Oryza sativa Japonica Group: one gene and its partner. The protein of the gene in region 1 binds, or shares a complex with, the protein of each later gene. Links are inferred from orthologs where the notes say so. Each region holds a gene or a part of one and is shown on either strand. Other genes may lie near its edges. The genes, in order: carbon catabolite repressor protein 4 homolog 4 and probable CCR4-associated factor 1 homolog 11.

Evidence for each region.
Region 2: carbon catabolite repressor protein 4 homolog 4 (region 1) and probable CCR4-associated factor 1 homolog 11 share a complex: the UniProt entries of both Arabidopsis thaliana proteins name them as parts of the CCR4-NOT complex. The link is inferred for Oryza sativa Japonica Group from reciprocal best matches to the Arabidopsis thaliana genes AT1G31500 and CAF1b.

The regions. Positions count from the first base shown.
Region 1 is NC_089039.1:18,948,357-18,952,669, forward strand, and holds the start of carbon catabolite repressor protein 4 homolog 4, read right to left. Parts: upstream 3,039-4,313; 5' UTR 2,887-3,038; coding exon 2,795-2,886; intron 2,714-2,794; coding exon 2,634-2,713; intron 2,495-2,633; coding exon 2,445-2,494; intron 2,310-2,444; coding exon 2,260-2,309; intron 1,768-2,259; coding exon 1,698-1,767; intron 1,125-1,697; coding exon 1,003-1,124; intron 866-1,002; coding exon 756-865; intron 379-755; coding exon 228-378; intron 107-227; coding exon 1-106. UniProt on the Arabidopsis thaliana protein: Acts as a catalytic component of the CCR4-NOT core complex, which in the nucleus seems to be a general transcription factor, and in the cytoplasm the major mRNA deadenylase involved in mRNA turnover.
Region 2 is NC_089038.1:35,499,112-35,502,449, forward strand, and holds probable CCR4-associated factor 1 homolog 11, read left to right. Parts: upstream 1-1,582; 5' UTR 1,583-1,693; coding exon 1,694-2,683; 3' UTR 2,684-2,804; downstream 2,805-3,338. UniProt on the Arabidopsis thaliana protein: Ubiquitous transcription factor required for a diverse set of processes. It is a component of the CCR4 complex involved in the control of gene expression.

The DNA of each region.
Region 1 (4,313 bases):
TGAAGGTTTACAGTTAAATTTATTCGAGATAAGTTTCTCAAACTGAGTAACTCTTGAAAGAATATACTTTGCTTGAGCCAATTTTACATCAATCCATTCAGGATCCCTACAAAATCAGAATAGTATGAACAGGGGATCCAATACAGATATACAAAATAAAACAGACAGATGGCTTAAAAAACATCTTCAAAACGAGAATAATAGAGAACTCTGGCCATTTTACTTGCCAATAAATATGTGTGTTCGCCATAATTAAAATATGATCACAAGGATCATTAAGCTTGAAAGCGGCAAGTAAACCAACACAGTCACGTTTCAATCTGAAACGTGGATCATTTGGATCTCCATGCTTGTTATTATCCACCTTCTTGCTTGCTTCTGAAAGAGCATAATACTGAATTAACCCAATTAACTTAGGTAGAGCATCATACTAGCCACAGATACAGCAGACATAAAATAAGTACGGAATGCAATTGGACAAATCTATGTCCTAGCTAGAATATGATTAATGATAAAGGTCCAAAGGTAGAATCATAATAGTGGAGGCCCAAAGAATTTGTACTTCATGAGTTTGGATGTGGAGTTTGAATATTTGTCTACTTTCTTTGTTTTCAAGATATGACAGAATAGTTTGTATGTTGTAACTTGTAAGTAGTTTGTTTAGCCTGGCTCACTACTTTACCTTTTGTCGCCTCCAATGAAAGAAGTCATTATGATTCACAGGATAATATCAAGTTGAGCAGCTGATCCATTACCTTCTGTTGGTGAAGAATTATTTGATGTATCACTATTTACATGATCAGTATGAACATATTTTTCCACTAAATCATTGTAATGTAGTACTTCCTTCTGGACCAGTTCCATGCTGTAAAAGTAAGAATAGCCCAAAAGGGGGATATTGAGAAGTTAATTTGCAAGTCAATCGAAACATTCATGCATACTATAATTTCCATTCTTGTCTTCTCATTGTTAATCATCACTTATTTGAAACAATATGGATACCTTTTTGGTTTATAGAATATGCCACATCCATCCCGTTTGTCCCCAGATCGTTGAATGTAAATACTTGAATATCCAGAATTCTCCATGTTTTTCTTGTAGAAGGTATCATACTCATCCAACTCCTGAGCAAACCACATATTAAAAATAAGCAGACAAAAATGTTCCAAAGAACGAAAAAAGCAGACAAAAATATTCCAAAGAAGAAAAAAAAGGGTCAAAAGTACACATTAATATAGGTCATGACTAAATATTGAAACAATACAATCATATGTAATATGTAACCCTCCCAATATTTATTTCTGAATGAGTAGAACACTAATTAATTTGTGTTGGGCATAATGGAGGAAGACTACATAATTTTTTTGAGAAACAGTAATAGCCAAAACTTTCTACTATCCACCATTGTGTTGTGTTTTGGCACTAGGAACCTTGTGTATCAGGTTCCAATCTGTCACGTTGAGAACTTGGGATTAATGCTCCCTTTATCCTAGGATCCAATCAATGTTGCAGTTTTTTCTTGGAGGGTATTTTTCAATCCACTAAATACAAACTTGGGGAATGTTACATAAACCATATATAGAACCAAATAAGGATATAATATGATTTAAAAACGTTCACATTCTATATTTATCAATGACAAGTACATGACCACATGAAAAAAATGAGTTGCTTAAAAAGTCATAAGTCTGTCCAACCTGTATGCACATGAGGTCAGCTTCGAAGCTCTTGAGTTCTGATAGAACAGCTTTAGACCGAGTTTTCCACCTGTTTCTCAAACATGAGGGGAAGCATACAGTCCACAAATGAATGATTGAAGAGCAGGGACTAGAACAGAAATGGAAAATTGTTTACAGTCACAAAACGAAACTAGCACACTGATGCACCAATCCTTTGATAGTTTTATACTTTGTTCTTGGGCTGGGTCTACTCATGGTGAGAACTGAGAATGGAACTCAAGTTTGTCCGAAAATATAAATGTACAAACATCATATCGTAAAGCTTACTGTTGACAAATAAATCTATTCGTACAACCTGAATGCTACTAAGGCTGCGCTCATTGCTGCTAGTTGGGAACCAATGTGCAATGCACACAAAACATAGTATTTATGTAATGTCTTTCTTTCATAGTAAATTATTTGGCATTCACCGCAGTGTGTTGCCACTGCTCTAATGCTTAGTAGAATCACTAAAGTGGTCGCAAGAAAATATTGAAACCCAAAAGAATTCTAGGAAGAAGCTTGTCAGTCAAGAGCTTACTTGAGACAGGCAGATGGAGAATGCGGGAAAAACGCACTCTTCACATAAACCTGCAACACAGATCAAATAGTTAGATGCAGCTAGTTTTCTTTCCTCTGTGAATACTGTAATCCACTCATCGTCACCAAAGAAAATACCGAACCATAAGCAGCTCAACAGAACAAAACAGCATATTGCCAGCCTACCTGGGCCAAGATGTTGTAGGAAACCAGCCGGAACTGGTACCCAGCTGCCCCTGTAACCCAAACACTAAAACAGTTTTAATACAAATTACCCTGGGCCTGCGCGATTTGCAAGTAATACTAGCAATCAACCACCAATCAAAATCGTATTACTCGCTTCTTAAGATTGACCAAGAAAAGAAAAAACACAACCTGCATCGGATTCGGATTGCGCCGTGGGGAGAGGGGCGAAACTGGGCTGCGCCTGGGTGCTCATCCGCCGCTTGCAAATTCTGACTCGTCGGTGTCACGATCCATTAGAACAGTAGAAAGGGGGGGAAGGGGTTTGGAATCGGGGATCAGCGTGTGCTTACGGGACGAAGGGGAGACGGGGGCCGCAGGGAGGAGGGGAGCTGGGGCGGGGACGGAGGCGGAAGAGAGGGAGGGAAGCTTGGAGCTTTAGCATCGGCGGATTCGTTGGGCTCTCCGGCGCCGGAACACGCGCATCTGGCCGCGAGGAGATGGTCGCGCCGCCGCCGCCGCCGCCGACGGCTGTACGGCTGTGGCTCCACCGCTCAAGCGTTTTGATTCAAACCTGATAACTGGGCCCGATCTGTCGGTGAGAAGCGCCGGTGTACAGTATATTTGAAGTAATACCCTTTTCTTTTCTTTTTTTTTCCTTTTCCTTTTCAGAGATGGCCACGGATGGGATAAGAAAAGGGATTTCAGCCAAATTATGTTTTCGTCGGCACTTTTAACTCTAGTCGGATTGGAATGTGCTTGCTACCACCATAAGTTATCGAGTCAGTCAGGACACATTATAAACAGGTAATGAATTATTCATGCTGCGTTTTCAAAAGGGTGATTTTTAAAAAACTTTTTATACATAAGTAATATTCCCTCCGTTACTAAATATTTGACATCGTTGACTTTTTCAAATATGTTGACCGTTTGTCTTATTAAAAAATTTAAGTAATTATTAATTCTTTTTCTATTATCTAATTCATTGTTAAATATACTTATATGTAGACATATTGTTTTACATATTTTACAGAAGTTTTTAATAAGACGAATAGTCAAACATGTGCTTAAAATTTAACTGTGTCAAATATTTAGAAATGGAGGGAGTAGTATTTAACTCATCCATACAAATAATTTCCCTTTTCCCTTTGACTATTATCTATTTATCACTCAGTTAAACTGTGATGTTAGTAATTTAGGACACGATTGTTTCGATTTACATTAAGCTTTGTCAATGATTTTGTTTTGTAGTATACAACGTATGAGATTTTGAGCCGAAAGTTTAATTTACAGTATAAGTATATCCAGACAAACACATAACTTTGTTATGTCAAAGGGTATCACTTTTTGTTTTGGATTTTGACATGGGCAATGGTGGATCCTAATGTTCTTTTTCTTAAACTCGAGAAACCTTAATAATGGATAACCAGTTCCACTGGCTGTGTTCGACCGTTTGGGTTTCCAACTCATCTCTCTCGTATTCCACAAACATATTTTTTAAATTGCTAAATAATTTTTTTTTACAAAAAGTTTCTTGTTTTAAAAAATAATATTAATCCATTTTTTTAAAAAAAGTAATTACTTAATTAATCATAAGAAAATGTGCCGCTTTGTTCTTAACCTCACCTCCCGAACACAGCCTAAGAGCAAGTACTCTAATGCTTAATATGTTGCCCCTAAAAATACTATATATGATTAGATATGAGGTGGAAAAAATAAGTGAAGAAAGAGAAGGTGAGTCACCCCTCATGCAAGGGGCAACCTCCCCACAATGACACAAACCCCAAGGAGATGAAAGAAAGAGGGGATTAGACAAACAAATAAAATAAAATTATTTGGGTTAGTATGCTGGAGGTAGTGTAGATGTGGTGT
Region 2 (3,338 bases), on another chromosome or scaffold:
ATTATATTCATATCAGAATCCTGTGTTTTTTCTATTCCTCGGTTTTTTTCATTCATACGATTCAAAGTGCCATAATCAGAAATAATGCAAGGTAATCCTTCCGATACTGTCTACCAACCACGGAAGACGCGGATGCATAAGTGGGAGTAGTGTAGAAGGACCGGCCAGGAGGAAGAAGACTCACCAAACGCGAACGCCGACGACCGGCTGGCTATTTCGTTGAACACTAGCACACGCAAGGAACGGAATATACTCCTCCAAGTGTTTCGCATGGACGGTCAAGTCAATTCCGGAGGCCTGCAGCGGCATCTGCCCCCCCCCCCCCCCCCCCCCCCAATCCCATTCGATTCTCTTCAGCCGCCGCCGCACCGCAGCTCGCCCCGCGCCGCTGGCTAGGAAAAAACAAAAAAACGAGTCGGCTCACCTCACACGCACGGCGCACGGGCCGGGCAGCGTGTGGCCCGCGACGACCGCGACCGCGAAAGCAGCAACCTGCGGATGGAGCAGCGGCTAGCGCTTGGCGTGAGACAGCGGCGAGGTTCCCTTCCCTCCCTCGTCCCAGTTGCGGTTTTGGTTTTCCAGCAAAGCACAGCACAGCTGCACGTACAGGTACAGGGATGGGGGAAGAAAAACGTGTACTAGATGGCCACCGCCAAAGTGAGAGCGACGGTGCGGTGCCTGCACACTAGTGTACGGCCTACCGGACTACCGGTGGACTACCGAACGCACGCATACGGGAGGGAGGAGTCGGGGACCGGGTCGTTGCTGCTCCTCGGTCGGTCAGCCTCAGCCTCATGAGTGATGATGACTAGTCTACTGGAGTAGTACTAGTGGCCTCGCCAAGCTCCATTGGTTTTGTTTTGCAACTTCACCACGTCGGCAATTACCGCAACAAGCCGACCTAACGGAGGGGGTGGGAACATGTATGCACCGAACCTGGTGCATGTCCACGTTCAGCGTACTACCTCTCAACTTGGAGCATCTCTGCTTATTAGTGCTCTGTTTTGGCCGGGGTGCACTGCACCCAAATACCAACTAGCACCACCAGAAATGTGTCCTCCCTATACTTTATACTCTACCAGCCGACTAGAGTATACTAGCACTACTCCTACTTTATCCGTTTCACAATATAGACAATGCTAGAAAGTCTTACATTATAAAACATAGGGATTATATAATTATAAATGAAAAAAATTACTAATAAAATATTAGTACAGAATTCCGAATGCGTACGTACGGTATCGCACATCCGCTGCAGCAGCTGCGGAATTAAACAAACCGGGAATGCGTCCACCTCCCTTGAACTCAATCCAAATAAATAATAATAAAAAAGAAACCCACAATTCCGGGCAGATGCCTCTGTGTCTGCAACACGGTCAATCCACGCGCGCCCCTAACCCCAATCATTAACCCCGTATGTTAACGCACGCCATAAACGCAGACGCACGGCCACCGTCCGTTCCTCTATGCGCACAAATCTCAAAGCTCCCCACGCCGCTTTCCCCTCACGCTCCTGCCGCCTTCCGCGAATGGATGCGCCGGTGGACTCCTATAAAACGCAAGCTCTCACTCGCCGCAGTCCAAACAGGCAAACGCACTCGCATCTCCAATTCGGTCCGAATTTTTCCAAATTCCAATTGCTCATCGCGCTTCGAATTCGTTGCCGAGATCCATCCAATCTTTGAGTTAAGACATGCCGTCAGAGTTCGTCGCCGCCAGGAAGAAGCCGCCGCCGGAGTTGTTGTTCGCCGCCGGTCGGAAGAAGCAGCAGCCGCCGCCGCCTGGCATGGCGTTCGTGCCGTCGGAGTTCGCCGCCGCCGGCGTTGGCAGGAAGAGGCAGCCTGCGCCGCCGGTGGAGATACGCCGGGTGTGGGCGCACAACGTGGAGGAGGAATTCCGGATCATCCGCAACGCGATCGATCACTTCCCGTACGTGTCCATGGACACGGAGTTTCCCGGCGTGATCCACCGCCCGACCAAGCACCCCGCCCTGCTCACCGCCGGCGACCGGTACGACCTCCTCCGCCGCAACGTGGACGCGCTCCACCTCATCCAGGTGGGCATCACCCTCGCCGCGTCCCCCACCGCGGCGCCCGCGCTCGCCTTCGAGATCAACCTCTCCGACTTCGACCAGCGCGTCCACCGCCACGCCGCCGAGTCCGTCCAGCTGCTGGCGGAGCACGGCGTGGACCTCGCCGCGCACCGCAGGCACGGCGTCAGGGCGAGCGCGCTGGCGCCGCTGCTCATGTCGTCGGGCCTCGTCTGCTCCCACGGCGCCGTCAAGTGGGTCACCTTCCACTCCGCCTACGACTTCGCCTACCTGGTCAAGCTCCTCATGGGGCGGAAGCTGCCGAGGTCCATGGCCGAGTTCCTGAACCTGGTGCGCGTCTTCTTCGGCGACGAGGTGTACGACGTGAAGCACATGATGCGGCACTGCGGCGGCGAGCTGTACGGCGGGCTGGAGCGCGTGGCGGCGGCGCTGCAGGTGAAGCGCGCGGCGGGGCGGTGCCACCAGGCCGCCTCCGACAGCTTGCTCACCTGGGACGTCTTCCGGCGGATGCGGGAGCTCTACTTCCTCAAGCATGGCGTCGAGGCCTACCAAGGCGTGCTCTTCGGCCTGGAGCTCGACATGGACATGCCCAGCAACAAAACACCCTCGCTGCCGCTGGTGGCAGCGAGATGATACGATCTCCTCTCCTCCGCTGTAAAATTTGTTGATTCGTCGTCTGCAAGAAAGGATTTCTTTCGGCAGATGTACAGTAATAATAAGAGGGAAAAAAAGATGGTTTAATTGATTGGTTAAATTCGGTTGATTTTCTCGTGTGGTGGTTTAAACTTTCACCGTTAAAAAATTGGGCGGCTTCCCCTGTTGTTTGTCATGATGAAACGGCTATAGAGAAAAACGCGTCGTATGAACAAAAAGGCAAAAAAGGCCATGCGCACCGTGTGCAGCGCAGCGAATCGCGTCGCATGTTGGGAGTCAAACGAGCAGCGCGTGTCATTCGGTCAAAGTGCATACTAGTGTACTATGGTCGGCCGGGTTTAGTTCCAAATTTTTCAACAAGTTTTTAACTTTTTCATCGTATCAAAATTTTCCTATATAAAATTTTTTAATTTTTTCATCACATCGTTTCAATTTCAATTAAATTTTTAATTTTAGCGTGAACTAAACACACCTATGCATGAAGAAGGAAAAAAAAAAGGCTACAGTAGTCCTGAACTTATGATGAATGAAACGGTGAGATTGACTCGTTTTAAGGTCAGACGATGAGTGTGAGTTCAGGGTGCTAGTTCATGCGTGGCATGCTAGTTTCGTTCAGTTAGCCGACCGGTCAATG